4 linked regions of the Pelodiscus sinensis genome follow. The protein of the gene in region 2 purifies or fractionates together with the protein of the main gene of each other region. This does not show direct contact. Links are inferred from orthologs where the notes say so. Each region holds a gene or a part of one and is shown on either strand. Other genes may lie near its edges. The genes, in order: CNOT1, FHL2, EYA3 and TNKS1BP1.

Region 1 (7,241 bases), on a different chromosome or scaffold from region 2:
CACCACTCCTCCAATGTGGAGGTTAGAGATTTATCTGAGCCCAAAAAATGTGAGGCCACTTCAGGAATATAAATTCCGTAAGATACTACATAAGAAACATGGAGGAGCAAAATTACTAAACTAGTTTGGAATATGGTCATATTGCCCAATCCTCCCTGTTAGTGCTACAAAAGACTGTTAAGGAAGAAACTGAAAATATGCTTCAAAGCTAAGTTAACTACAAAACACTTACTGCTTAAGCATTTAAGGCAAGAAAAAATGCACTGCATAAGCCACATGCATGACAATTTAGTCACATTACTGGGAAACTAATATCTGGATTGGAATGAGTAAATACAATTTTAAAGTAAACACTGACTAGAAGAATGATCAAGAACAATGCTCTCTCCAGAAAGAAAGATGGAGTTGTCTGGCAACAGGATGTGGGTCAGGCTGAGAGAGCCATATTTATAGGGAGACGGAGTGTAGGACAATACCAACTCAAGATGCAGGAGTGGGACCAGAAAGTACATTGCTGCACAGCCATAGAAGGCTGCCACCTATTTACAAAAACAAAAGAAAAAACTACATAGCACTTTAAAGACTAACAAGATGGTTTAATAGGTGATGAGTTTTCATGGTCTGGCCCATGAAAGCACATCGCCTATTAAACCATCCTGTTAGTCTTTAAAGTGCTACATAGTTTTTCCCTTTTGTTTTAGAAGTATCAGACTAAAGCGGCTACCTCTCTATTCCTATTTACAAGGCATCTCATCTGGGCTAGTTTTTGCCTTCATCTTATTCAATCCAAAATATTGCTACCCTGGCAACAAGCAGCATCCTGAAGTTACTTTTATGACAATTCATTCTTCGTATATAGAATTCCCTCCATATATACAGAAATCCTTGCATTTCACTATCTGCTTAACAATCTGACAGCTGCTGCTATCTTTTCATGGTTTCCACCACAGAGTCCTTGAAGTAGAGCAGACAAAGCATGTGCACTATCCAAACAGATGACAAAACCGGAGGCTTTTAAACTTTTAAGTTGCATGTACTAAATCCATATTTGACTGTCATGGTATAGTGAACTTTTACATCCATTCATTATAGGTAAAGCCACTGTAAATCACATCTCGCTCCTTTCGCAATTGTGTGCTGAACAAAATCTTTTGTGATTTGTTAAAGTTAGCTGGCAGTCACCTTTTAGTTTCAAGAGTCAGGAAGACAAGGCTATTACACAAGAAAGGAACACCCATTTCAAGGAAGCTATTTTTAAAAACAACAGTGCGTTAAGTGTTCTAGTTCTGAGCTAGGCAAATGCTAGTTAGCTGCTTATTACTGTTAATGGAAATATTTGGAAAGATTTTTTCCTTTCAGCTCAATAGCTAAATATTTTAGTACTCTGAACTTAGCCACAATTAGAGACCATGCCTTCACAGTACTTTCTATAAGAACATGTACTCCATTTTTATGAATTTATTTTTCATCAACCCAGGCAATATAATAGCACTCTTATAAACGGTGGGGCTTTCTTCAAGACTGCCTTTTACTAGACTTTCCAAGAATCCATGTCAGGTTTGCCATTCAAGAGATCATCAAAGTTTTAGAGTTAAAGAGCAGCTCTACAAAGCAGATGCAAGGGGGGGAATGCTACAAATGCAAGTCTCTGTTTACAATGCCCAACAGTTTATTTAAATCCTTAACTTAGTTTGTCCCAGAAAAAGTTTTCTTGAAGCCAAAACTGCATTTTGTATATTGTGACATTTAAAATATTCAAGACTTATTCTACTTCACTGGGATTTTTAACCTGTTCTCTATTGTGGGCTGGATCTGTAGTTACACTGGACCACATCCAGGCAACATATATACTCTACCTGCATGGCCCTGAGAAGCCATATGGAGAACTGCAGCTGTGCACTGAATTGGCTGCAAGCAGCCCACAGGTTGAAAACCACTACACTAACCTATAAACAAGCACCATTTGTGTGTTTCAAGTATGTTTAAATGAGGATATAGTCTTTGATAAAACTGCTTTTTAATAGGGCACTTTTAAGAGGCAAGGGACCAAAAAAATAATCAATCGATATTTTGCATTTCCACCAAATAGCCAGCTAGTTTTATTCCCTCCTTTAGCAAACATGTATTCTACCAAGAAGAGAACAAATGTAGCTGCTGGTTAGAAGCGATCACTGAGGGACAAGTATTCAAAGGCATGCTCCAACCCACTCCAAACCACGGTTACTCATACGGATGCAAAAGTAGCTCCAGAGGAAGGGGTTGCCCAAGTCCAACCCTCTTCACCCGACAGGGAAGAGGCAGGTTGTCCTGGGCTCCCTGCTAGCAAGCGCTTTGAGCCTGGTGCCTCAGAGAAGCGCGCAGGAGAAAGGGGAAGTTTCTGCTCTTCCCCGCCTCCCCCCCGGGCAGGGACACGGGGAGCGGGAGCACAGCCCCCCCCCCCCCCCCCACGGGGCGGCAGGACCAGCCCGAACCGCCCAGCCCTGCGGCGGCGGCGGCGCGGCGCAAACAGGCCCCCGGACACGGCTGGGGCGCGGGGCTCCTGCTATCGGGAACTTCCGGCCCCCAAACCCACCCGCGCCCCCCCGCTCCTGCTGCCAACTCGAGACGGGGGCGGGGCTCGCCTCCTCCCGACGCGCGCGGGGTCCCCGCGACAGGCCCAGGCCGCCGACTGCCCCCGAGCCCGGGTCCACTCCCAGCCTAGGCCCGAGCGCCTCAGCACCGCCCCAGAGCCCCCACCGCGCAAGCGCCCCTCCTTCCGGTTGGTTCCTGCTCGCCTGGCCTCCGGGCCCCGCGGCCCCCAAGCCCAGGGCTGCGCCGGGCCTCCGCAGCCGCTCCCCGGGCCCGTCGGAGCGCTCACCTCAGGCAGCAGGGCGGGGGTCGCGGGGCCAGAGCGGGCGCCTCGGTCAGCTTCTCGCGCTTTTATCCCCTCTCAGCCTCTCGCCTCTGCTGGTTTCAATACAAAATGGCGGACGGGGTCGCGCGCTCACGTCGCGGCCTTTCCCCTCCCCAGTCCCCTCGCGGCACGCCACGCGCAGGGCGGGGCCGCGGCCGTCCTCCCCTGCGTACGCGATTCCACCCAATCACAGTTCAGGCAGGCGGCAAAGGCGCCTGCGCTGGGGGGGGGGTTCCACCCAATCAGCGACCGGCGTCCATTCGGGAAAGAAAGGGGAGCGTTGCGTTTCTGCGCCAAAGCAAAGGCCGGACGCTGATTGGTTAATGAAAAGGAAGCCTTCCTCCCTCCCGTCGGCAGATCAAAGGTCAGGGCTCCTGCGCCTAGGCGCTGTGGCCAATCAGCGTTCGGGGAAGGCATCTGCGCTCCCGGGTCTGGCCAATGGAAGAGGAGCGCGGCTGGGCGAGGAAGGGGAAGTAAAGGAGGCCGCAAAGGGCGAGCGGAGTCATTGGGGAAGAGGAGTGGCTGCCCAGCCCTAGCGTGAGGGGCAACATCTCCCGCCCGCCACCCCATGTTGCACGGCATGTGCCTTCTGTAGGCGGAGAGCCCAATGGTACAGTCCACCTGCGCTACAACAATGCGGGCAGGCTTCTCCACCCCACTGTACCTCCACAGTGGTTCAGTCCATCACCCCTCCCCCCCCCCGTACCTCTGTAGTGGTAGGAGTTGTTTGCATCTTTCCTGTTCTCTCACACACCCCCGTGAGGCTTATATAATGGTACAGGCCACTTTGCTCTAGTCTCTCCCCTCCCCTCCCCCAGTGTCACATGATCTTCCAGCCAGCCCCTCTTGGTCTGCACATGGCAAAGGCTTGGAGCGCCTGGCACCTGCTGAGCTAGGCAGCGCCCTGCCCCGCGCCAACGCAAAGCAGGAGTCACTCCTGAAGTCAAACCAGTGTGAGACCAGAATCCCTGCAGGCAGCAGCCCCGCCTGGCTTGGGCTGGCAGCTGGTGCATAGCAGAAACAGGCCTGGTCCCCCTCCAGCCACAGCATCTCTGGATCCAGAACCAGTGCACGGAGCAGCGCATGGGCGTGAGGGTGTGTGTCAGTGCCTGGAGCTAGGGAAATGCCAGCATGGAAAACAAAATATGGTGCCACTCTGGAGCAATGCGCTTCCATGGGCAAAACCCACTGCTTCAGCCGAGATGATCTCAAAATCATCTCATCTGAAAGAAGTGGGTTTTGCCCCCCGAAAGCTCATGATACAGATATATTGTCTTTAGTCTCTAAGGTGCTACAGGTCTACTCATTTTTAAAGTTACAGACTAACACAGCTACCCCCTGAAACTCTAGACTAGGAATGGTTTAAAAATATAAAAGGTTCTGGTTACGAAAAATTACCACTAATTACATACTAAGCAAAATAGGGGACATGTAAATATTTGTTGCTATTGACTCTCACAAAGTATATTCACATTTTTTTTAAAAATCTAGCCAATATTTTTACTAATATTTAAGAAATGTCCTTGCTAAATATGTATAATAAAAGCTTTAATTTTATGAAAACACCATTAGAAACAAGATGTGGACACTTGTTCTGTAATGGATAACACCCTGTTCAATAGCTATGACTATTACATTACTGTATATAGTTTATCTAAACAAAGCTCACTTTTGTGATGATTATTGGGGGTTTTTTTTGGCTAGTATTTACTCTGCCAGCATTTGTAAGCCTGTTAAAAATTGTCCTATATACAAATAGTGTAATCAAAATGCCAGCAAGGATAGCCATGAAATGGAACAACTTATAGGAGAAGCTTGATTATATTAATAACTATCTTATAACCAATTATATGAACCATTTTTCATAGGGGGGAAAAAATCATACAAAAGTAATGATGAACAAGTTCGTGTCCTGTCACTTGCTAATGTCTTCACAAAATGAAAGTAATAGCTTTGTTTTTGTCGGTGATGGTGGAGTCCTCTGGCTACCAATAACTAAAAGTATGTTTCAGAGCCCAGGTCAGTTTACTCAGGATCATGGAACTATCAAATTGCAATGCAGCCCTTCCAGTAAAATCCCTAGCCCCTAAGATCACAGGCTCAAGCCCACCTCCCAACAACCCACATCATCCATCACCTCTGCAAATAGGGGCTCCTCTGGGATTTCAAATGGGATGTCTCTGAAGCTTGGGACCCACTTCCTCTACTAGAAGACGTCTCTCCTGGGTGCAGTGCATTATCCTTTCCAGTGGCACCAAGACCCATACAGATAGGTAAGGCTGTAGAGCAGACTCATTGTTCTAACAGCTAGCTTTTAGCTCGTGCAGTAGAAGAGGGAGGGAGGGCAATAATTTTTAAAAGGGGGCCACTTCAGAAATTTCAGAAGTGACCCCAGGCCACCCTGGAAGGAGCAGAACCTTGGACAGAAGGGGTGGGGCCAGGAGACTTCTTGTGCTTTCCCCCAAAATGCTGATTGGCCTGGGGTGGGGGAAATCTTCCCCTTCCCTCCCCTGTCCCCTAGAAAGAAAGGTCAGCTGTTTTAAAACAGCTGGCAGTTCCCTCTAGGCACCCAGTGGGAGGAGACCTCACGCGCTCCCCAAGCCAATCAGGGCCAAGGGAGCAGACAAAGTCTCCTGGTCCCCACAAGAGCGTGCAGCGTCTAGAGATACATGCCAGCTGCTTTAAAACAGCTGGCATGTTTCTCTAGCCATTGTGTGCCCCTGGTAGGGTGGGGCCAAGACACGAAAGACTTCGCCTGTTCCCCACCCCCAGCATGGTGGGGGCAGCAGGGCGGCCGCAGGCCCACTTCACTGGCTTGGTGGGCCGAATCTGGCCTGTAGAGGGCCCTTTGTCCACTGCTGCAGTAGAGGCTCCTGTGCTGGGCTCCAGAGGTCCCAGGTTCAATTCCACCCACAGGTGACCAGTGTTACACCTGCATCCCCCTCTCCTTGGAAGGCACCCACCCCATCCAGCAAGTTGCTGCTGTTGCCGAATGCACTTTAAAAAGCTTCCAACCCCTCCTCCAGCACAGGGAAAGCAGAAGTAGCCATCTGTCTGTAGGGAGCTGTGCTCATCACACCACTACCCCAGGCCTGCCACTGTCAGCAGGAGGCAGCTGTGTGTTTGAGCATGACAAAGGGAGTTGGGAGCACAAGCCCTGTTGACTTTCAATAGGACTTATGTGTCTAAGTCACTCTTGAAAAACCCAGGCTGGCCACGTGCCTAATGCAGCTGGGACGTCAGCTCCTCAGAGGTATCCCCACCCAGCAGGCTGCTCAGAGAACATGCACAGGAAGGAGGGGTGGGGAAATGTGAATTCAAGGAGCATGGGTTGAGAGGGATGGAGAATTGCCTTGTGCTGGCGCTATGGGCTACAGGTAGGGGATCCGGATGAGAGAGAATCAGGTGCGTCTGCTTTTCAATACACTGGCTCACACCCTGAGCCCCAGGAACACCGGCCGGTACCAAGCGGGGCCTCTGAGCTGGACTTTCCATAAGCGGGCGGCCAGCCAGCCCTTCCCTGGGAATGCTTAGCATGACAGCCTGGGAGCACAGCACGTGCTCCCCCTCACCCCCCGCTAGCCCCAACCAGCTCAGCCGAGCACCACCCATGCCTGTTTGTTACAGCTTTGTACACAGGATTTGAGCAATCCCCCCCCGCAGCGCGAGGCCCCAAGGGAAGAAATGCATCACGCTTATTGCCTCCTGGGCCTAGGACACCGCAGTCCCGGCTGCTTTTACCAACATACCGGCCCTTTAGGAGAAACAGAGCAGCCTCCAGTCTTTAGCCTTTACACCAAGGGCAGAGTAAGTCAACCTGCCACCTTAGTATGGAGCTTCTACAAGCCAGCCCCCCGTCTTTCACTCCTGGCCCAGCACAAGAGCAGCCAGACTGGGCCAGACCAAAGGTCCATCTAGCCCAGGACCCTGTTTTCTGACAGTGGCCAAGGTCCGATACCCCAGAGGGAATGAACAGGAGAATCATCAAGCGATCCCACCCGTCACCCAGCCCCAGCTTCTGAAATACAGAGACCCAAGCCAGGATCCCTGCAGCTTAACAGGGAGGAGGCTCTGCAGCAGAGATGATCCAGCTCCTGTAGCAATTCCTGGTTTATTAGTCACAGAGTGGCAGGTGAGAGAAGTGCACCCGCCCCTCCCCACAAGTCCAAGAGAGCATCCGGCAGTGATGAGCAAACACCTTCGGTGTGGGGGTGGAGAACCTGCAGCCCAGATCCAGCTTGTGGGGCAAGTCTCCCTTAGAGAAGCTGCCTGTATGGAGGAGGAGTCAACTGAGGCTCAGCATTTAAGTCTTGCATTAAAAAACAAACCCAGATTTTTATTTCATTTA
Region 2 (7,921 bases):
GAGAGTCTGGGCATGAGGGGGTGGGGGGCAATTACTTGCCTTCATGCTCCGTGCCGCTCCCAGGCACTGCCTCCTGCTGCTCCCATTGGTCAGATTCTAGCCAATGGGAGCAGTGGTAAAACCCTCCAAGCAGCACGCCCACTCACTGCTGTTCCCCCACCGAGGTGAGGGGGAGCAGAAGTGCTTCTTCCCCATGAGCTGGATCATGCAGCGAAGCTCAGGGCTTTCTTCCCTCCTCCCCTTCCCCCCCCCCCATGGGAAGCTGACACTGGTGCTCCAATCTAGTGTGGGGTTGGGGGAGGGAGGGCGAGGCTGGAGTACCAGCGCAGTATCCCTGCTATGGGGGGAAGGAGGGTGGCTGAGCTTGAGCTCTGGACCCACTGTCCCAACAGAGCCCCTCATTCTTCCTTCACACCTTTGGCACACTCCCCCCACGCACATAGAGGCCTGATGTGATGGGAGTCTGTATCCCACACATGTGGTGAAAGCATTAGCGTGTGTCTGAGAGGTCAGTTAACTCCTCTGGCTGTACCTGGAGGGCAGGTAAGGCATAATAAAAGATAAAATTGGGAAGAAGCAATGGAGTGCTGGAAGTCTGGAACTGCAGAGAGAGAGAGATAAGACAGAGCTTTGCTATCACTATAGCGTAGAGAGACTTGTGGAAGCAGGAAGTCCAGGCCGGGAAGATGATGTGAAGGCACAGTACTAGGGTAAGACCCCAGCACAAGGGCAGGAACTGAAGGGCCTGGGAAATGGCAGAGGGAAAGGGCCTGGGAAATGGCAGAGGGAAAGGCCTGAGGAAAGGCTAATAGTAGAATGGAATTGCAGGAGGCTGTGATGAGATGTCTGGCAAAGCAGACCTTAGTTGTTGATTCTAGGATCCCTGGACTGGAAGCCAGGCAGAGGCTGATCTTGGGTTCTCCTACTGGCCTTGGAAAAGTGATGTAAAGCTCCCCTGACAGAAGAGAATAGGGATGATTCACAATCCCGATTTGAAAGATGTAAGGAGCATCAGGCCCAGGGTCAGGGCCCAGAGACTTGGCCTTGGAATTATTTATTGAACTTTTGGTACCTCAGAAGGGGCTAGGACTAAAATGAGACCTGGCTGGAGTGCTGAGTCACCAGACAAGGCAGACTGCCACAGCATCATAGTGACTGTTGCAAGAGGGGACTGGGGAGGAAACAGCTGCTACATCACACTCAGTTGCAAAGAGATCTGTCAATCGTGAGTCCACCCTGCTACAGGGGAATTCCTGGGTAGCCAGTTAAGTTAGTTCTATGGACATTTTCTGCTGCAAGAGTGTATGGGACATGCATGTTGTCTCTTTCATAGCTTCTGCCTAGTGTTACTTGAGTAATATTTTTACTGTTAAATGAACAGTTAAAATATCAATATGTATCATTCAGAAAGAAACTCATTAACATTTTTTAGCCTATCAAATACAAGGCTGATATTTTAAGTTTCTTCTAGATGGTAAAAAGTACTCTCCAGTTTTCAGCTGAAGCACTTCACTTGCATTCAAATCATCCGAACACTAGCTGTGTAAAACAGGTAATTATTAGTATGCCTCTTTTAACCCCAGGAGAGACTGAGGCAGAGAGGTTAACTCCCAAGTTCTCAAAAGCGACCCTATAATTTTTGGTATTTCACTCTTTGGGTGCCCAACATTAGAACCATAGAAAGCTTGTGTTCATTAGTGTTGAGCATCTAAACCACTAAGTCAATAGGAACTGTGATTACACAGCACCTTGGAAAAATGAGGCAAACCATGATCAAGTGAGGCACTCAAAATTAATGAATATTCTTGGGAATCTGGATCAAAGCACTTCCTGGAAAATGTTGAGCATCTTCAGTTCCCATGGTTCTCCAAGGAGGTGCTTAGCACAGTGGAAGGTCAGGTTCTTAATTACCTAATTAATAAATTGGAATAAATTGCCAAGGGAGGTGGTGGAATCTCCCTCTCTGGAGATATTTAAGAACAGGTTAGATAGACATCTGTCAGGGATGGTGTAGACGGAGCTTGATCCTGCCTTGAGGGCGGGGGGCTGGACTCGATGACCTCTCGAGGTCCCTTCCAGTCCTATTATTCTATGATTCTATGATTCTATGATAAGATGTTATGAAACAGATCTCTTCCACCCAGATCCCTTTTCTCCTGTAGTGTTGTAGTGATCCCGTGTGGGGAATGGACCTATCCTATCTGTTTTGACAGATGTGATGTCAATGAAATGCAAGTCCAAAGTACCTTGCAATCACAGCCAATTGGTTTTTTGCATTCCTCACAGGTGTTGGAGTAAAGACTTTCATAACACTTCACGCAGTAGGGACTCTCTTCTCGCAGGATGTACTTCTTGCCAAACAAGGACTCCTTGCAGTAGTGACAGTCAAAGCGTTCAGTCATTTTGGTGTCTAGACTCTTGATCTGTCATGAAGAAGAAAACAAGCAGGTTCAGATTTATGACTTACTAGAAGATTTACCTGGCATTGCTCTGGTCCTTAACTCAAGTAAGTTTTGTTTTTCTTAATTTTAATCATTGTTCTGGGGTGGGGCTGAGGATAAGAGGTTCAGTATTCAGGCTGCCCTGGGGAGAGAGGACAACCCCAGCCCTTTCTCAAAGTAGTAGCTTGAGGCCAGGTGAAAAGTGTCTGATCATGGCTGCTGCAGTTGCAGTTGGCACAGCTTGGGGAGTGGTGCATGTCCTCCAGCTGGGGGACAAACACACAGACAGACACATAAACAGACAAACTCTCTGAAATATATAGTAGTTGGCTATCCCTTTCTCCACTCCTACCCCTTGCTGGCCCAGTGGGGTTATAGCTACCCCAGTCCCCATTTCTGGCTCCTTGCTGCCCCCCTGTGGTCATTCTACAGTATAACTGTCCCTTCTATCAGACTTCTCACTTACCATTTTATGAGAAATAATCAAATTCCAGACGCGTCCCATTGTTCTTGAACAAATGAACTCACAAATGGACGGACAGACCGACAGACGCACATTTCTAAAATATAGTAAGGTTACCTTTAACTCCATTGAAAGAAACAAGATGATATATATCCCGTTTAGTGTTATTGCATTGTACCACACATTTACTTAATTTAATGGCAAGTAATTTCAACACTTTTTATTATTTAATTAAATCCTCATGTGAAGGGAAATTAGGAACACAGCAATAACTATGCTGCATCAGAGCAGCTGGTCTTTGTACTCCTGCACTCTGTCTTTGACAGAGTCTAGTATCAGATGCCTCACAGGAAGGTGCAAGCATCCTCATAATGGACAGTAATTAAATAATTTGCCCATGGGAAATTTTCTTCCTAATGCCGGCAAAGTTTGATTCAGCAGAATGGTCTTGCTTGGTGAACAACCTGGTTAAGTGAGCCATTTCATCCACTGACAGAGTTGAGCATTTCTTGCGCTGAAGAGTTTTCAAGCCATTTTTTGGATTATCTCATTCAGATTTGAAACTAGCTTTTACGTGTGGGGTGCAGCCAGCACAACTGTCTATAGTTCTGGGAATGCTGAGCAGGCTGCAACCTGGGGATTCAGTTATTCTCCAGTAGCTGTACAGTAATTATAGCAGTAATCATAAGATAGAGAGGTAAGGAATTGACAGCACAGGTGCAAGACTTGTAGGCCTAGATCGATAAGGATAACTTAAGCAGTTAGCGTGAGTCCTTTCAGCCTGCCTAAGGATAATTGATCAATAGTAAGCTATTATAAGTTAGAAAACTAACAATGATCTTAAGTCACAAGATGGCATAAGACTCTGTGTATAGTCTTCTAACAATCACAAATGTTGCAAGAAGTTTGTACCTATCATCTTTAGAACATTTTTGGAGGACATATTAGCAGATGCCTAACCACAGATAACCATAGTAATTCAACTGACATATGTTAGTGACCTTGGCTAATTAATATATTAAGCTATAAGAGAAGGACACTCCAATACTATGAGAGCAAAGAAGTTAAGGTACACTAAGAGAGGGAAGAGTTGTGTTGTCACTGGAGGGCCAAGGAGACTCCCAAAGCAAATCAAAGCCCTGCACCATGTGACCTCCTCTCTCCCCCGGTGCTCCAGACACCTTGCCATGTGTCCTCCTCCCTACCCTGGTATTCTGGGGACCAGGGTGGCAGGAACCACACCACATGGCCTCCTCCCTCCCCCAGTGTTCCAGGGGCTGGGGAGGCTTGGGCGTGTGCACATGCCCCCTTCTCCCTCTTTCCTTTCCTGGGGGAGGGGGTGCTTTCAGCATGCTGCTCCACAGCAGAGGGGGTGGGGTTGTAGGAGGGGCTGCAGGCTTGCCTCCCTCAGCCCCAGCAGCACCAACCCCCCATGCTTGCAACTACACCTTAAAACCATTCAAAATTACTGCCGAATGTAACTGCCTGCCTATGAAGTAGTTTCTCATGTGGACTGCATTACACCTGTGCACCATATTCTGTGCTGTTTTCCAGTTGGTTTCCCAAATGAAGATTTAAATGGCTTGGGTCCTAATAACAAAAGTGTCCATCTTTCTTATCTGTAGCAGTATTCAACTGAGGTTCTCAAGCCCACAGTCCCTTGCTTTAAAGAGAAGGAAGATAATTGCAAAATCTCCCAATGTTTGGGACTCATAAGTTCAGAGCTAAAGTTTTGGTTCAGACAGGACTCACTCATGAAGTTGGGATCAAGACCAAAACTTCCCAAAAGTTCAGGAATGTTTAGATTTGGGGAGTTGAATGGATTCCATCTCTATTCTATAATACTCTGGACACACTCACAGTCTCTTCTCCCAGGAGAAAGAAACAAAAAGTAAGGTCACAAGGGTCAGACAATAGTGGGTCAGACCAATAGTCCACCTAGCTCAGTATCCTGTCTCTGACCATGGCTGGTCCCAGAGCTTTGGGGAGGATGTAGAGAACAGGGAAGTTGGAGTGACCCATTATTATATTCTGACCTTCAGGGTGTGTCTATGTAGAACCATTATTTCGGAATAACAGACATTATTCCAAAATAACATAGTGTGCATTTACACTGCAAGCCATTATTTTGAAATAATGGTGAGCTGGAGGACTTCTTACTCCGACTCCTGTAACCCTCATTTCATGAGAAATAAGAGAAGTCAGAGGAATAGTGTTCTTCTTTCAACTTCCTCTGTGTAGAAAGTGCCAAAATTTGAATTAAGCTATTTTAACTTCAGCTATGTAATTGATATAGATGAAATTGCATTGCTTAATTCAAGTTTTGCCCTGCTGTGTATATGTACCCTCAGAGATTTAGGGCCATCCCAAGTTCGGGTTTGCATTCCTGACCATCTTGACCAATAGCAATTGTCTTGAGTAACTTATCCTCCAGGACATATTAGATTCTCTTTTTGAACCCATTTACACTTCTGGCCGATCACAGCATCCTGTGAGAAGGATTTAATTGTGCATTGAGTGAAAAAGTACATTCTCTTGTTTGTATTAAACCTGCTGCCTATTAATTTAATCAGATGACCCAAGTTTTGTACTGTAGGAATAACACTTTTCTAACTTTTCCCATATTGATAATGCTTATGCCATAAGCATGATCACATATCATCATAACAAGGACTATCCAATGAGATGTGAGAATGGAAAAATACATCATTTTGTTTTAGATTTATGAAAGATTCACACAACTCAACAGGTACCTGTCCTGTTCACTGGCATTAAGCTGGGACGGGGCCTAGAGAATGCGTGAATGATATTGATACTTACAGCTTGTCTACACTTAAAACACTGCAGTGGGAAGGGATTTTCCCCAAGAGACATTAGCTAGACCAAGGATTAGGACCGTTTAACTTCATCACTCAGCAGCACAGATTTTTTCACACCCTCGACCAATGTGGTTATTTGGAACTAATTTCCTTGTGCAGGTATTAGTAAACTAATCAGAGGCTATGTTTATGTAAGGGGACTGTTACCCCTTACTAAAACTCTGTGGGAGTTTTTTGGTTTGCCAGCTCCCACTTTCAGAGGGGGAAGGGTTCAGGAGGCTGACAGACCCCAGAGACAATGGAAAGCAGCCAACACTCCAGCTCAGCCTGATTGACAGGTTGGATAGGCCAGTGAGGAAGGGGAGAGGCCAGGCCCCGTCCTCCCTGTGAGCTGGGATTGTTCTGGCTCTCTCTCTGAACAAATAAGCTGTGTGCAGAAGAGGTCCTACAAAGACAGAGAGCTGAAATAGGAGTACAAGCTGTGTGAAGAAGTCCTGCAAAAACAGGGAGCTGAGAGACAGCCCAAGCAAAGCAAGCTGTGTGCAGAAGAAGTCCTGCAAAAGGAACAGAGAGCTGAGAGACAGCCCAAGCAGTGCAAGCTGTGTGCTGAGGGGCAGTTTTTGCAGCAGCTGAGCCAGACACACACAGCTCAAAGAGCGCAGACCCTGTGTTGAGCAGCAGACTGGCAGTGCTCAGAGAGCCAAAAGGAACAGAGAAGCAATGCAAGAAGCTAGAGACTGGCCACACAGCACAGCCTGCAGCTGGATGTGGTGAGCAGCTGGGAACTGCAAAGTGTGGGGAGAGGCTCTGGACTGGGAGAGGGGTCTGGCCACTTAGAGCTTGAGGCTGTGTGGTCACTGCCAGAGCAAGCGTGTCCAGCCTGCAGCCCCTCCCCCCCCGCAGCACATCCAAGGCCTCTAAGGAAGAGACTGTGGACTGTCCTTACACTCTGCAGGCTGCTGTTTTGATGTCCCTGTGCTACAGAGCAGGGCTGTGTGTTCTCATTTAACCATTCTCATTTTTTTCTTATTCTTTTCTCTTTAACCAGTTGTTGTTTAATAAATTGTATTTGCTTTGAACCTTATGAAGTGATCACTGGGCCAAGAAGGCCTGCAGTGTAAAGAGAGCACCTCGGAGTGGGGACACCCTAACTCCTGCCCCTAGTGACTACAAGGTCAGGGATTAAGCCCCAGGAAACCTGGGCCCAGCCTTGTTGGGGTTTCAAGGGCTCTGCTACTCAGGAGAGTGGAGGGGGAGCCCTCAGGATCAGGGAGCCATGGGGTAAAGGAAGTGGGAGCGGGGACTCAGATCCTTTTGCTGGTTCATTTCACCGGGGTGTATAGAAGCCAGGAAAGTTCCCCACAATAGCGGGATCATTCCCCCGCTTACATTTAGACTGCAGAGTTAAATCGGAAAAAGATATGCAATTTGTGTACTGAAAATTGTGTATTTTTTCCTGATTTTCTTTCAAAAGAGGCTTTTCCAAAATTTGGCAAATCTATATGGCACCAAATTTCGGAAGGACCTGATCTTTCAACACATTCCTTATGCCTCATAGAATGAGGTTTACAGGGATGGCGAAAGAGAGCATCCGCTTTTTTGAAAAAAAAAATTCAGAAAAGCGGATGCATTCCGTGGACACAGTATTGTTTTTCTGGGATACCTCTGGTATCCCGGAAAAGTGCTGCACTCTAGACGTAACCAGATTGCTTTATTCTTCATCTAATACTCCTTTTTCCTGTCTGGTAACATGGATAGCGTATAAGCTCTTTGGGCCAGGAACTGTCTTTTTTGTGTGCATTCAGTGCCTAACACAATGAAGCCTCCATGTGTTACCATAATACAAATTAAAAATAATACTGATGTTATTTGCAACAGTTAATATTGGTCTCATCAAAAACATTCATAATAAATAAGCCCATCCCACCATAAAAACTCATTTCTGCAATTTTCCAAATCATAAATAAAGCTCCAAAGGAATAAAAACGTTCTCAGGCAACCTGTTCTTCATAGGCCAGAGAAAAAAGATGTATACTTCAGTGTGAAACTTCAAGTAGCTAAAAAATTGTTACAAGGAGGAAAGAGAAAAATTATTCTCCAGAACCCGTGAGGATAGGACAAGAAGCAATGGGCTTAAATTGCAGAAAGGGAGGTTTAGATTGGCTATTAGGAAAAGCTTTCCAACTGTCAAGGTGGTT
Region 3 (7,830 bases), on a different chromosome or scaffold from region 2:
GCAAGAAACTGTTTTTTCTTTGTGATCCTGTCTAATATCTGTTTTGTGGGCATTGATCCTTTGGCGAAGTGTCTGAGACGTTTGTCCAATGTACATAGCAGACGGACACTTTCGGCACATGATAGCATAAATTATATTTCTGGATTTCTGCATCCAGAAATATAATTTATTTCAGAACAGAAGGGGGATGTGCGGGGGGGGGAGAGGAAGGAAGGTAAATGTCTGTGAGTTAATGATATTAGAGGTGGGGATAAATTATATGCAGAAATCCAGAAATATAATTTATGCTATAATTTATAGCCATGGAATAAGCCCTCCGCCACAGCACTGCAGTCAGGACAGTGTCCCCAATTCTTGATTTGATATTTTATTCCATCCATGCTCTCAACATGCTCTAACTTTCTATACTGGAGGCAGTGTCCAAGATAGAAGATAGAACAAGTTTATATCCAGATAAGGCCACTTTGACTACAGCTATTGCCTTGGTGTCTATCTCCCTGTCTGTACACTCTGCAAACCAACAAATGCTGCTATTAAAGAAGGGGGAAGTGGGAGAAGGTACTTTGCCTGATGCTTTGGCCACATCTAGTATATCTAGCCCTCCCTAGCTTCCTCACGCCTTTACATCTAGTTGCAAACCCCATGAGGTAGGTGTATGTCTTACTGGCCAAAGTAAATATTGCTATAATCTTTGCAACCCCCCCCCCCCATTAATCATTACAGTACATCATCACATTATGTAGTATCCTGGGTGGTGATACTGCAAGCTGATCTCTACTGATAGATTGTTTTATACTCTTTTAGAGCCACATGGACAGAAGAGTCTGTATAGACCAGCTGGCAGGATCAGGACTGCAGACAGTTAGTTCCCTGTGCAGAAAAATTGTCATTAGTCTCAGATGTGTGTTGACCAGAGTAGCACTTAATACAAACTAGCAGTCTCTGTCACAAACCCTGAAGTCAAGCTATTGATAGGATTAGAAAGGTAAGGAGAAGAGAGTTGCCTTAAGCCAGTGCTCACCAACCAGTAGATCAGGATCTACTGGCAGATCTTGGAGCCTTTGACAAGTGATCTTGACATGGCCAAGAGGCTATCAAATGCTGGCACTTCAGCTGCCCCTTTCCCCTTTATTAGAGGCAGCAGCACAAGGCAATAGGCATCCAGTCCGCAAAGGAGCTAGTTTTTAAAAACTCGCTCTCCTCACAGATCAGTACCCACCTGGCAGGGGTCTTCTTGGGAGTGAGGCTGGAGCACACTGGCTGCTGGCCCTGCCCCCAAGGACTGTAGACTAATCGACTAACCATTAAGAATTCATGAGGTTACTCAATTATTCAATTAACCAATATTTAACATCCCTACTTGTGATGGGCCACTTCTGTGTACTGGTGAATTAGTACCCTGTAAGCTTCACCTAGATGGGGTAATGCTACATAAGAACGGCCGTACTGGGTCAGACCAAAGGTCCACCTAGCCCAGTATCCTGTCTACCGACAGTGGCCAGCACCAGGTGCCCCAGAGAGGGTGGACCGAAGACAATGATCAAGCGATTTGTCTCCTGCCATCCCTCTCCAGCCTCTGACAAACAGAGGCCAGGGACACCATTTTATCCCCTGGTTAATAGCCTTTTATGGACCTAACCTCCATGAATTTATCCAGCTTCTCTTTAAACTCTATTATAGTCCTAGCCTTCACCGCCTCCTCTGGCAAGGAGTTCCACAGGCTGACAACACGCTGTGTGAAGAAGAACTTCCTTTTATTAGTTTTAAACCTGCTACCCATTAATTTCATTTGGTGTCCTCTAGTTCTTCTATTATGGGAACTAATAAATAACCAACAAATTATGTTCTTCTACATGCTTCACAATTTTATTCTTTACTATTGTTTCAACTAATTTGCCCGCTTCTGAAGTTAGACTTACAGGTAACTGATTAATTGGTTACCTGTTCATAGCCCTGGTATGTGTGGCTAACTAAAATCATGCCAGACCACGGATGCTGCAGGACCAGAGTGTGCTGGATTAGAGAGATTCAACCTGTAGTAAATGTATCAGGGCTCAGAATTAGTCAGCCAGTATCTAGGATTTGCTACAGGCTATGTCTACACGAGCAGCTTCTTGTGCAAGAACTCTTTCTTATTTGGAAGAGTTCTTGTGCAAAAACTCTTCCACGAGAGCGCGTCTACACTGGCATGTGCTTTTGCGCAAGAGCATCCATGCCAGTGTAGACGCTCTCTTGCGTAAGAAAGCTCTGATGGCCATTTTAACCATCGGGCTGTCTTGTGCAAGAAATTCACGTTGCCTGTCTACACTGCCCTCTTGTGCAAGAACAGTTGTGCAAGAGGGCTTATTCCTGAGTGGGAGCGTCAGAGTTCTGGTGCAAGAAGCCCTGATTTCACACATTAGAACGTCCATTCACTTTCACAAGAACTCACGGACAGTGTAGACCGGCCGCAAGACTTTGTGCAAGATCGTGCCTGTGTAGACACAGCCACAGTGACGGCCACAAAATGGAAACAGCCACGTGTAGACTGACAGGCCAGTGATGATTTCACAGAGCTGAAGCCAGGAAGCCGCCAGTGAGTTCTCCCAGACCAAGCGGGAGAAGCCCCGAGGCCTGTGGCAGCGCACGGCCAGGCACCAGCAGGGCGCGACGGACCGACCTCAGGAAAGGCCGGAGCCCCGCGAGAGGAGGGGCGAGCCCGCCTGCCCCAGCGCGGAGCCACGTGCGGCCCCCGACGCGCCCGCGGGCTGCGAGCGGGGCAGGAACGAGCCGAGCCCCTCACGCGGAGGGGGGCTCCCCCGCCCCCGGCCCGGGCAGCACCACTCCTGCCGGCAGGGGCGGGGCCACGTGCGCGGGCAGCCGCCTCTTACCGTGCGGCGGCCCCGGGCCCGGCAGCGCGCCCCGCGGGGGACATGGCGGCGGGTCAGCACCAGGAACGCTCAACTCGGAGCCCAGCCAGGGCAGCAGGACCCGGAAGCAGAACCCGGTGACGCCGGAAGTGACGCGGGCGGGGCGGGGCGGGGCGGGGCGGCGCCTCCTTTCGGCCGGGTGGGGTTAGTGCAGGGCTGGGTCTGTCCGCCAGCCTCGAGCCTCGCTCCGCGGGGGCTGGGGGAGGGGCAGTGACGGCCCCTCCCCCCCAATAGCAGCAAAACTCGTGGAGCCGAAAAGACCCGAGCTGCCCGTTTGCAGCGGGCCCGGCCGCTCTGGGTCCCGGGCTCGGCGGGCCGGTGTCCGGGGACGCTGGTGACTGAGGCGAGGGGCTCTGAGCAGTGACTCCCTGCAGCCCCCCCCCGCCTGCGAGCTCCGCGGGGCCCTGCGGGTGGGCGGCCATTCCCTCGGGACGCTGTTAGGGGCGTTGGGCAACATCCTGATTCGCTGCATCGCGACGGGGGCACCCTGAGTCCTCCAGTGTAGGCGAGTGAGACGCAGCTGGGGCAAAATGCAGGACGATGCAGCACTCTAGAGACTCACAAGATGGTTTATTAGGTGATGAGCGTCCGTGGGCCAGACCCACTGCCTCAGACCAAACAGTGGAAGAAAACAGCCACCACCATAGATACCAAGGGGTACAATCAAAAAAATGAACACACATGAAAAGGACAAATCACATTGCAGAACAGAAGGGGGATGGGGGGGAGGTAAATGTCTGTGAGCTAATGATATTAGAGGTGACAATTGGGGAAGCTATCTTTGTAATGGGTGGTGTCAGAATTATCAGTTGGTTTCATTAACATAGTCATCAGCATTGAGGAATACAATGGCACACCTTTTATCTACTGGTCTGATTGCTATTTGGTGTTTGGATTTCAGGGACTGTATTCCTGTCCCTTCAGCAGTGAAGAGAGTAGAACGATGTGATGTCAAGGATTTCACAGTTAATTATTTTTGAGACAGGCAGTGTAATTCCTAAGATTAGGTTTTCATACCTTGTGAGGTGTTCAGTCAGATCATTCTTTTTTCTTATAAATCTATGTGAGGTCATGTTAATTGTAGGTGGTGCCATTGAATTGGTTCAGGCGGAGTTGGTGTAAAATTCTTCTACTTCTCCACATTAGTTTGATGTCAGGTATGACACTGTGTGGAATACATGGCCACTCAGTGGGTACGTCTAGACTACAGGATTTTGTCGACAAGTTTTGTTGACAGATATTGTCGACAAAACTTCTGTCGACAAAGAGCGTCTAGACTACATTCAGTTCTGTCGACAAAGCAGCTTGCTTTGTCGACAAAACCCTGTAGTCTAGACACAACCCTACATGCAATAACACCTTCTGTCAACAGAAGGTGTTATGCCTCGTAAAATGAGGTTTACCATCATCAAAAAAACTGCTGAGTTCTGTCGACGTTATGTTGACAGAACTCAGCGGTAGTGTAGACGCAGGTATACTTTTGTCGACAAAACTCTAGTCTAGACACACCCAGTATAATTAGGTATCGGTATAAATAGGTATCACAGTGGTCTCTGAGAGTATTTAAGATCATGGACTACAATTGTCAATTCTCTTGGGAGGCAAGGTTGTGTTTCAATGTCGACTTCACCTACCAGAAATCACAATGTAAAACACATTAAAACCCTCTTCACAATACTGATTCTTTCTACGATAATTAAACAGTCATTTTCTCTATAACCATTTGTCCTCTACTGCCTGTGACCCTAGGCTTCATATTCTTCATAGAGCTATATTTGTGATCTGAATGTGGCATAACTCAGCTATGTTTTATGCAAGATGGGTCAAGGAAAGGTTATGGTTTACTAACTATTATCCCATTTGTATGCATACATTGTTTCTGTATCTGAAGTTAGAATTATTGACTATGCAACAATCACAACTGTGGTTTATTTTTGAGTAAGGTCCACCAGGCAGTATGCAGAAACTTAACAAATAGTCTTGCAGGGCCTTTGAGACTAACAAAAGATGTAGATGAAACAAAAAGCAGGACTATGTAGCGTTTTAAAGGCTAACAAGATGGTTTAATAGGTGATGAGCTTTCGTGGGCCAGACCCACTTCCTCAGATCAAACTGTGGAAGAAAATTGGCATGACCAGATATACCAAAGGGATATGAAAAGGACAAATCAAATTTCAGAACAGAGGGAGGATGCGGGGGAGGGGGGAGGTAAATGTCTGTGAGCTAATGATATTAGAGGTGATAATTGGGGAAGCTATCTTTGTAATGGGTAAGATAATTAGCATCTTTGTTGAGACCTTGGCATAAAGTGTCAAATTTAAGCATGAATGTCAGTTCAGAGGATTCTTTTTCAAGTCTGGTGTTAAAATGTCTTTGAAGATGTAGATGGTATCATGAGCTTTCATGGGCACAACTCACGTCTTCAGACAGTATGCAGTTAGTCTAGATGGGACATTAAGAAGGACAATAGGTCTTTAAAGGTAGTAATCACACTCCTTCCTGAGAAGTTTGCGGGAATGCTCCTTTGACATCACAGAGTCATGTGATCATGTCACCTGGTACTTTTCCACAGGAAGGGAATCAGGGTCTACTCCAAACAAAAGTGCTGCCATATGCAAATCCTGGTTAAGACTGGGGAGTGAGATAATCCAGATTCTGCACCCCCATCTCTATCCTGCTCACTGGCAGTCCTGTCCTGCTCACTGGATCCCTCATGTTTAGCTCCACCCCAGAACCTAGGGGAGCTTACAAAATCCGACCAACCCTGGAACACCCAGAAGAGTTAATCTGGCCTGAGGTCTTGAACCTCAGTCCTACCTACCCTCTCTTTCCCCAGGGGGTTGGAATGCCAGGAGAGTGAGGAGTCTCAGTTGGGGTCACATCAGTGAGGTTTGGAGGGGTTGTTTTTTTGCATCTCACTTGTGTGGTCCTCAACCGATTTTTCTGTAGGTTGGCAGCCCCTGACCTAAAACAGGTTCCCTGCCCCTCCCACAAATAATGACAATGATGAAACCTTTTTTGTTGGACATAATATTTTATTTAAAAATGAAGCCTGGCCAACAAGCCCCTAATTGGGGCCAACCCCTCCCCCACAATCTGGCCACAGAATCATAACACTTCTGCACCCCCCCACACACACACACCAACCAAAATATCTTATGGCTCTATATGAAACCATGCTACGCCCACATATTGAATACTGCGTACAGATGTGATCACCTCATCTCACAAAAGAGATATTGGCATTGGAAAAGATTCAAAAAAAGGCAATAAAAATTATTAGGTGTTTGAAACAGGTCCCATATGAAGAGAGATTTGAAAGATTTGGACTTTTCACCTTAGAAAAGAGAAGACTAAGGGGGGATATGATAGAGGTCTCTAAAATCATGAGTGGTGTGGAAAAAGTGAATAAGGAAAAGTTATTTACTTATTCCCACAATGTAAGAACTAGAGGTCACGAAATGAAATTAATAGGCAGCAGGTTTAAAGCAAACAAAAGGAAGTGTTTCTTCACTCACTGTACAGTCAACGTGTGTAATTCTTTGCCAGGGGATGTGGTAAAGGTGAGGACTGTAACGGGATTCAGCAAAGAGCTAGATAGATTCATGGAGGTTAGGTCCATCAATGGCTATTAGTCAGGATGGGCTGAATGGTGTCCCTAGCCTCTGTTTAGGGATGGGTGACAGGGGAGGGATCACATGAGGATTCCCTGTTGTGTTCCCTCCCTCTGGGGCATCTGGTATTGGCCACTGTCGGCAGACAGGACGCTGGGCTGGATGGACTGTTGTGCTGACCCAGTCTTGCTGTTCCTATGTTTTTTACCCTGAGCCTATCATACACCTGAATCTCCTGCCCTGAGCCCCCCACAATCCCAAATTACTATACATCCCCAGTCTTCTGCCACAAGTCCTGCACCATCCGCACGCCACAAATCTGTGACCTGAGCCATCATACTCCCAATGCCCCTGCCCTGAGCCCCTCATACAGCCCAACCCAAACTCCTGCACCCTCAGCACTCCAACCCTTCATTTGACCCCAACACTCTCCAGCCTGGAGCCCCCTCCCTAAGTCAACATCATCTTCTCCCCCACCTCCTGCTCCCAAATTCCCTCCCAGAGCTTGCACCTCTCACCCCTTCCCACACCCAAATCCCTCATTCCCACCCCAGAGCCCGCACCTCCTGTTTCAACTCAGTGAGCGTGAGTAAGGGCTGGGGACAGGCAGTGATGGAGAGAAGGGGAATGGTGGGGCAGAGTCTCCAGGAAAGGATGGGGTAGATCTTGGCTTAAAAAGCCATCTTGGGTGTAAAAAGTTTGGAGACCAGTCTACACTTTGGTGGTTTAAAAAAAATAAAAAGATAGCTGCCCGTGACCACTGTGAGACAGGGTAACCTGGTTTTGTGAGTTGGTAGATCTTAGTTGTAGTTTCCACTGCACCAGAGGAAATAAATGAAGGTTAAATACTATTCCAGTTGCTCAACATCTGTTCATTGTTAAAGAAATATTCCTCTGGGGGGTGGAGTTTTCATCTTCTGTTGCAGCATGGGCAGGAGTCATTTGCTGGTTTAAATTAGAATAAATGGTGGACTTTCTGTCTTTAAATCACTGTTTGAGAACTCAGCCAGAGGCTATAGATCTATTCCAGGAGTGACTGGGAGAGATTCTGTGGCTTGTAAGACTACGTCTACACTGCACACTTATTTTGGAACAAGCTATTCTGGAATAGTTATTCCGAAATACAGGCAGTCCCCGAGTTATGCGGATCCAACAGATCCGCAGTTACGAATGGGGCCCATCTCCCTAGTCTCCAGCAGACCAGGGAGAGGAAGCAAAGACGCGTCTGGGCTGTCCGCTGCCTGCGTGTTCCGCGGCTTTACTCCCCGTCCCCTGGTCTACAGACCAGGGAGACGGAGAGCAAAGCC
Region 4 (7,406 bases), on a different chromosome or scaffold from region 2:
CTTTTCACAGAGTCATAGGACTTAGAAGGGTCTACAGCGGTGTTCCCTATATAAGCCATGTGCTTGTGTGGCCACTCAAGACAGAGTCCCAACCGATTAGCCAAGTGCCCACAGCTAGGCGTTGTGTTTCTATTGGTGGTGCACATTCACACATGCCTCTGTGCACAGAAAATTATTCTGCACATGAATGGAAAAGATTAGAGGGAACATTGGTCTAGGGTGATCCTCTGTAAGAGGGGCCATAGGACGAGGCTGAGAATAGGACCAACCACATAGATCGTGTCTACAGCCGATCACGGTCCCAAAGGAGAAGTCCAAGAATAGGGAGCCATGGTTGGGGTTCTGCGTAGGTGCCAGAAGGTGAATGGCAGCTTCTGGCCATGCTGGGACATGGAGAAGGGAACAATCATCAAGGCAAGAGGCGATCTTGGGGGAGGAGCCTCAGTAGAGGTGGAGCTCACAGACAACATAACAAGCAAAGGAGACTGAGGCCCTGTCCACACTACAGGCGTCACAGCGAAGATGCCGTAGCTTTGTTGCTGTAGCATACACACGGGCTACAGCGACTGATGGGGAGGTTCCATATTTGTGGCCACAGCACCGTGGCCGAGGGAAGCATTTGCCTGCCCACCTAGCCATGACTACACTGGGACTATTCACACCGACGAGTGCAGAAAGTGTGCCGGAGTAAGGCTAGGTCTGCACGACACACTGACTTCAGAACAGCTACGTCAGTTAGGGGTGTGAACCCCCCACTGAGCGGGACATAATTACACCAACCTAGCCCTCCGGGTAGAGTGCACGGAAGGAGAGCTGCTCGGATCCACATCGCTCCCAACCTCCCTCCCGTTGGCCTAGAGCATCTGCACTGCAGCACAGCACAGAGGTTTTAAGTGGAGTCCAGGCTGGGAGATGGAGGGCAGCTCAGGCACGAGGAGCCCTAAGTTGCAAGCAGCAAGCAAGCTGAAGCAGAGGAGGGAATACCCAAGAGTTGCCAGGCCTCTGAGGCAGGACTTCCACCTCATGTTCAAGCCAAGAGCTGTCTTAGGACAGACAGAGGGAGGGAGCAGGGAGGAGTCTAAAGGGACATGCAGCTAGTCATGGTCACAGCTAAAGGTGGCACGTAGGAGACCAAGGGCTTATCTATACCACAGAATTCAGTCAACTTCAATTAGGTTGACCTACAACCTCCACAGCGATTGAATCAGCTGTTGGTGTCTATGCTACCTTCCTTACTGGTGGTGCGCATCTCCCCTAGGAGCTCTTGCAGGGCACCTTGTGAACTAATACCAGCCGTGAAACTGACAAGAATGTTAGTTTCACTGCTGGTTGAACCCCTACTGAGAAAATGAGCCACCAGCTCAGAGCTAGGGCCTTTTCCCCCCCACCCTCTTCCCTGCAGGTGTTCCTATCCCCCTCCCTGCTGCCAGCACCTCCCCCCACAGCTGTTACACTCTGCAAAATTTGTGATTTCTTCCTGCTCCTCCCCATGCCTCCAAACCCCCAAGCCTCCTTCCCCACCACCTGCAGCCTGGTCAGCATCCACCCTGCAGAGCTCCATCACCCCTACACCCCCTGTTCTTACCCTTCACCCTGCCCGTGGGACCCCCAAACACTTTTTTTAAAAAATTTGGGTAGGGGAGGAGGCTCCAGCTGTCAGCTCCAGGCAATAGAAGTAATGCAGCATACTAACTACATCGACCTAAGCGCTAGGCCTCTTGTAAAGGTGGAGATATTAGGTCGGTGTAGCGGAGGCTTTGTCAGTGGGAACCCTGACACTGACAGAATGTGATCAACTCTGTGGAGCAGACCAGGCCCAAGCCTGGGGAAGGCAAAGGGACAAGTGCAAGAGGGCCCCATTCGGCTCAAGGGAACAGTGCAGCGTAATGGACAGGGCAAGGCCCTTGCTTGCAGGGACTCTGGCACCTGCAAATCTAGGGACCAGCCCAGCTAAGCGCTCACTCACCTGGAGCTAGAATCCAGGAGAGTGAAAGGCAAAGTTGAGCCTTCGCCTTCCTCCTCCAGCAGGAAGGAGAATCTGATTAGCTACGTAGCCAGGGGATAACCAAGCCAGGGTGAGGAAAGGGGAGAGAGGGGGAGCAGGAGAGGAGAAGGGATGGAGGTGCAGGGGGTGGGTGGTCAGGAAAGAGGGCACAGGGGTCGATAGGGCATCAAGCGGAGGGCCAGGTGGCTGAGGGTGGCACAGTGACAAGACTGGCCGCTCCCAGGGACACAGCCTCACACAGCTCTTCGGAGGCGATTCTAGGAGCTGGTCCAGGGCCCGGCTTTGGCAAGGGCCCAAGGGAAGGGTCAGCGAGGGGAGGGATCAGTGTGAATCCTCCAGGGCAGGCAGAGGCCCTGGCCACAGCCCGGAGCAGCCCCTGGGTGCGGCTGGAGACAAGAGAATCTAGTATGGGGCACCCCCAAGACACCGCACTGCGACCCCCCCCCTCCGTGACACACTGCGGCCAGCAGGGGGACCCCATAGGCTGCCCCTCGCCCACCCTTTTCCCTCCCTGCTGCCAGCGCCTCCCCCCCCCCCCCGCAGCTCCCCCGCCCCACAGCTGTTATCACAAACTTTGCTGAGCGTTCCTTTCTGCGACTCCCCACGTCTCCAAACCCCCAAGCCCCCTTCTCCCCCCATCTGCAGCCCGGCCAGCATCCGCCCCGCAGAGCCGCATCGCCCCTGCACCCCAACCCCCCCGTTCCTCCCCGTCACCCCGCCCACGGGACCCCCAAACAGCCCGCACACGCCTCCGCAGCCCCGGGCACGCTCAGCACCCACCCCCCAAGGCAGAAGCCCCGCGCCCCGCACACGCCCCCTCCCCGGGTCCCGGCGGCTCCTCACCGGGCTCCGCGCCGCGCGGCACCGCCCCGACCCCCCCCCCCCCGCGCATATTCATGAGAAGCAAAACAAGGGCGGGGCGGTCCTCCGCCCTCTGCTGCATATTCATGAGTTATGCAAATCACCCGCGCTGGACACCGCCCGTTCCCACGTGTCACCCTGCTGAAGCCATCGACCCATGGGGCAGGATGTGCCGTGGAGGGAGGGGTTAGAGAGGCCCCGCTCCTGCCCCCCACCCCCCAGCTGTGACTGGAATACCCGCCCCTCGATCATTACAGCCTGCCCTTTTCATTCCTCCTCCCCCTCCCGCCCGAACCGGCCTCTGCTTGCCAGGACCCCGAGGTGGGGAGGGCGCGCCTGGCCCCAGGCTCACATGTGGGGCGTGTCTGTGTTCAACCGAGCTGGTAACATGCCAGGCACTTCCATGCCTGCCTGCCTGCCCCCCCCCCCCCCCCGTGCCCAGGCTGGGAGGGGTAACTCCAGAGTCAGTAGCCCCCCTGGGAATTAAAATCACTGCAGCCCTCATTGGGCAGCTCCAGCGACATCTTCATTATTCACCCAGCCTTGTCCCCTGTGCCCCTAAAACTCTCCAGTGCAGCCTGGCTGTAAGAGGGGCATGCTTTTAATGCTGGACTGGCAGGTCCAGAGGCAGGAATCTCCAAACCCCTTGCAGGCAGCCCACTTTGTAAGTCTGTTCCCTAATTAACCTCTCCTGCAATCACCAGGGCCATAGCTGGGACAGAGGATGTCTGTCCATATCTGCTAAACCCCTTTTCTGTTTCACCCATATTCAGGCATGTCCAGAGACTCAGGCACTAGTAGGCTATTGGTCACACACATTCCTACTTTCCTCTCACTCAGTGTGAGTAAATAGATAAAGATTTAAACTATTGGTTCTCGGGACCTCACACAGAGGCCTTAGAACTGGGAAAGCCATTTTCCAAGCCTGCGTACTTAACTAGGGAGATTACAGGCTTTGCCGGCAGCAAGGGTAAAGAGGGGAGTGGAGGTGTGTACACACACACGCACACAGCTTGTCCAAACAACAAGCAGGACCTGACTGAAAGGTTGCAGGTTCTGCAAAACAACAGTTTAAAACGTAAACCCTATTCGACCAATTCATGTCCTGGGGGGATCTCCAACCATCTAAGGTTTTGTTGCAACCAGCAAATTATTTTTATTCAAATCTGCTGGTTTTCAGTTACACTGCATAGAGAATCCCTATAGGCCAGAGATAAAAAGTCTCTCTGGGGGCACCTGTAGGTTAGTCTGTAATTTTAAAAACCTCAGAGAGGAACAAAAACATATTTGTAGTACTATGAGCTTTCATCTCATCTGAAGGGGGTTGTGCTCACAAAAGCTCATGATACTAGCTATATATTTGTTTGCCTCTTAGGTGCCACAGGACTACTTGGCTATGTCTAGACTGGCGGGTTCTTGCACAAGAACATCTTGCACAGGAGCTCCTGCACAAGAACACGTCCACGTGTTTTTGCGCAAGAGCATCCATGGCAGTGTGGATGCTGTCTTGCGCAAGAAAGCTCTGATGGCCATTTTAGGGCTTTCTTGCGCAAGAAACCCCTGCCGCACATCCACACTGCCCTTTTGCACAAGAGCTCTTGCACAAGAGGGCTTACACTTATTCGAAAAAGCGTAGCTCTTGTGCAAGAAGCCCTCTCTTCCCACGCTTCACTGTAAAACTTCTTGCGCAAGAGCAGGCGGGCCAGGTGGACGCACTGCAGGTTCTTGCGCAAGAACCCGCCAGTGTAGACATAGCCCAGCTGTTTAAAAGTTTTCACAGGCCATAGACTTTAGTATGAATCAGGGCATTTAAGTGTTTCATACTCAGTAGTATGCAGTGTTGATTTTAAAGCCAACTCTTTTCCATACATAATAAACTTAAACAACAAATAGCACGGCAGCACTTTAAAGACTAACAAAACATGTAGATGGCATCACGAGCTTTTGTGGGTACAGCCCACTTCTTCAGATGAAGACAGGTTGGATTGAAGTCCTGGACTGTTAGGCTATGTCTACACTGGTGGGTTCTTGCACAAGAACGGAGGTTCTTGCGCACTGACCACACGGCCCCCTAACTCTTGCACAAGCTTTACAGTTAAGCATAGGAAGAGAGGGCTGCTTGTGCAACAGCTACGCTCTTTTCTAACAAGTGTAAGCGCTCTTGCACAAGCGTTCTTGCACAAGAGAGCAGTGTGGACGTGCAGCAGGAGTTTCTTGCACAAGAAAGCCCTATGGCTAAAATGGCCGTCAGAGCTTTCCGATGCAAGAGTGTCCGCACTGCCATGGATACTCTTGCGCAAAAGCACATGGCTGTGTGGACGTGTTCTTGCACAAGAGGTTCTTCCACAAGAACCTGCCAGTGTAGACATAGCTGTGGAGTCCCCAAGGACCAAAGCTGAGCATCCCTGCCTTGAGGAAGAACCTAACACAGCACCTGGGAAGTCTCACTGTAAATTTCATCCCAAAGGGCAGCCAACTCTAGTCATCTCTGCATGTTGCCCTGCCAGGCAGCCACACCTCCTGAAAGCTCCCAGTTGCACGTGGGCAGCTGCTTACATGGCCCAGCTCCCAGGGCAAAGCAGTGTAGGCCCAGCTGCGGTGGAATCGCAGGACAAATGCAGGAAGGGCAGAGGCTGTCGGGTCTACCCTACGCTCCAGCCGGATGTGACAGTAGAGGATTAAAGGCACAGCCGCTGTGGCCCGAGGACTGGCCCAGTCTCTGGCGGCTTAATGCTTTGGTCTGATTTTGGGCATTGGATGTAGGGGCTGTCACATCCCGGTGGTCAGAGGTCCCTTCTGGTTTTCGATTCCACGCCCTTGCTGGGCCCGGCCCTAGTGCCGCACACGGTGCGCGAAGAGAGGCACTGCCGTGGCTGCCTGCAGTCTGCCTTCCCATTTACTCCTGGCAGCTGAGCACTTCTGGTAAATAACCCACAGAAAGTAGGCCAAAGGAAATGGGACCCCGGAGGATTTCCCGCGAGGGCCAGCTTCCATCTGCACAATTAACCTGCTCCAGCCTTGGTTATGAAAGCCACGGCCCCTGGGGCGCATTCCTCCCCCTCCCAAGGCCAACAGGGCTCTCTGCCCTCTCGGCGCTGCGGGCTGATTCAATTAGAGCGAGGCAGAGTGCACGGGCTGACGCACAGGTGACTGGAAGTGGGGGGCAGAGACACTTTAATGGAGCACTGAGGTCCGGTAATAGGCTCTGATCACATCAGGCCTCCTGCCCCCAGCTTGGCTTAGTTCTCCTGGCAGCAAGGGCCGCAATGGAGACGAATGAGCCGCCGCTCGCGCTCCCTTCCCCCACCCTCAGGGCAGTGCGAGCTGGGCAGAGCTCTAGGCCCAGAAGGGACAGCGATGAGGCTCTGAGCCCCCCACGCTGCCCCCAGGGCAGGAGGTAAGGTGCAGGAGCGGGCTGGGGGGTTTGGCCAGGAGGCAGAGGGGAAGTGCTCCGCTCCAGGACCCAGCATCCACTGGGAGGTATGGGGCAGGCTCCCCCACATAAAGCCATCTTAGGAACAACCCTCCCTGCCGGCTAAGCCTGTTAATGGCCCAGGCCACAGACAGGGGAGAAGAGGGAGCCCCTAACACTTGACTAAACCTCATTGCTATCGACCGCCTCCCTCCTTAGGCAGCTCCCACAGGTGTCCGATGGCCTTTAATGCCGTTAAGGCCACAGCTTACTGGAATGAAGTGAGATAAGGCACTGGCCCAAATTCAGCCCCACCCCACCGCAGGAGCGCTCCTGTGGATGGCAGCCAGCAATGCGGCCGTGGGGAGGAGACGACCACCCCGTGGGGCTTCGCCTGCTCCCTCTGCACTGGGAGACCCGGCCATCTGTCCCCCAGCCACACTCAAGACAGAAGCTCCACCCAAAGTCGCTTGGTTTTTATTCCACCCAATTGCCACGTGAACAGACGAGAAATACAAAAATAAACAGAACATAAAAAATGCTGAGGGAGCCCGGCTACAGGCCAGGGGACAGACCCCGCCCAGCCGGCTCCCCGCAGCACGCTGGGAGGGCCCCCTGCTAGGGCCTAGTGGGGCTCCGGCAGCTTGGAGGTGCACCCCCTTCCCCTGCTTTCTAGCACCCCGTCGTTCTCCAGAGTTCAGCACAAGCCCCGCGAGGGAGAAGGGGGCAAGCAAGGGCCAGAAGCAGGGCTGGGTCCAGTCAATGGGGCAGCTGTGTCGTCCTTCCAGCCCCGCCCCTGGCAGAAGGGATAGGGGGAGGGGAGTCTAGTTCTCACCTCAGCGACCTATGACCTGTGCCATCCGGAACAGGGCAGGGCTAAAGGGAGGGAGGGGGCAGGGCAGCTCTAATCCGAGCCAGATGCAGAGTCCTCCAAGCTGGGGGGCGTGCTGGCGATTTCCTCCTCCTCAGAGTCCTGTGGGGGGGGAGGGGAAGCAGGTTAACACAGGACCCCCCACAGTCGTCGGGCTGGGCCCATCCTGCCCTGCCCGGCACCTACCTCCTTCTTGTTGTCGCCAGAGCTCTCGTCACTGGAGACGAACTCCTTGCTCTTGAAGCTCTCACCCAGCG

What was found.
Region 1: the proteins of FHL2 (region 2) and CNOT1 purify together in Homo sapiens (affinity purification with mass spectrometry; 3 studies listed by BioGRID and IntAct, with this or other methods). This does not show direct contact. The link is inferred for Pelodiscus sinensis from reciprocal best matches to the Homo sapiens genes FHL2 and CNOT1.
Region 3: the proteins of FHL2 (region 2) and EYA3 purify together in Homo sapiens (affinity purification with mass spectrometry; 3 studies listed by BioGRID and IntAct, with this or other methods). This does not show direct contact. The link is inferred for Pelodiscus sinensis from reciprocal best matches to the Homo sapiens genes FHL2 and EYA3.
Region 4: the proteins of FHL2 (region 2) and TNKS1BP1 purify together in Homo sapiens (affinity purification with mass spectrometry; 3 studies listed by BioGRID and IntAct, with this or other methods). This does not show direct contact. The link is inferred for Pelodiscus sinensis from reciprocal best matches to the Homo sapiens genes FHL2 and TNKS1BP1.

Annotation. Positions count from the first base shown.
Region 1 is NC_134722.1:46,505,939-46,513,179, forward strand, and holds the start of CNOT1 (CCR4-NOT transcription complex subunit 1), read right to left. Parts: upstream 3,017-7,241; 5' UTR 2,858-3,016; intron 1-2,857.
Region 2 is NC_134711.1:233,436,302-233,444,222, forward strand, and holds the start of FHL2 (four and a half LIM domains protein 2), read right to left. Parts: upstream 3,016-7,921; 5' UTR 2,947-3,015; coding exon 2,908-2,946; intron 2,424-2,907; coding exon 2,247-2,423; intron 1-2,246. UniProt on the Homo sapiens protein: May function as a molecular transmitter linking various signaling pathways to transcriptional regulation. Negatively regulates the transcriptional repressor E4F1 and may function in cell growth.
Region 3 is NC_134735.1:23,086,729-23,094,558, forward strand, and holds the start of EYA3 (protein phosphatase EYA3), read right to left. Parts: upstream 3,019-7,830; 5' UTR 2,871-3,018; intron 1-2,870. UniProt on the Homo sapiens protein: Tyrosine phosphatase that specifically dephosphorylates 'Tyr-142' of histone H2AX (H2AXY142ph). 'Tyr-142' phosphorylation of histone H2AX plays a central role in DNA repair and acts as a mark that distinguishes between apoptotic and repair responses to genotoxic stress.
Region 4 is NC_134714.1:128,191,924-128,199,329, forward strand, and holds the start of TNKS1BP1 (182 kDa tankyrase-1-binding protein), read right to left. Parts: upstream 3,006-7,406; 5' UTR 2,849-3,005; intron 1-2,848. Other genes in the region: FACT complex subunit SSRP1, read right to left, coding at 7,183-7,251, 7,336-7,406.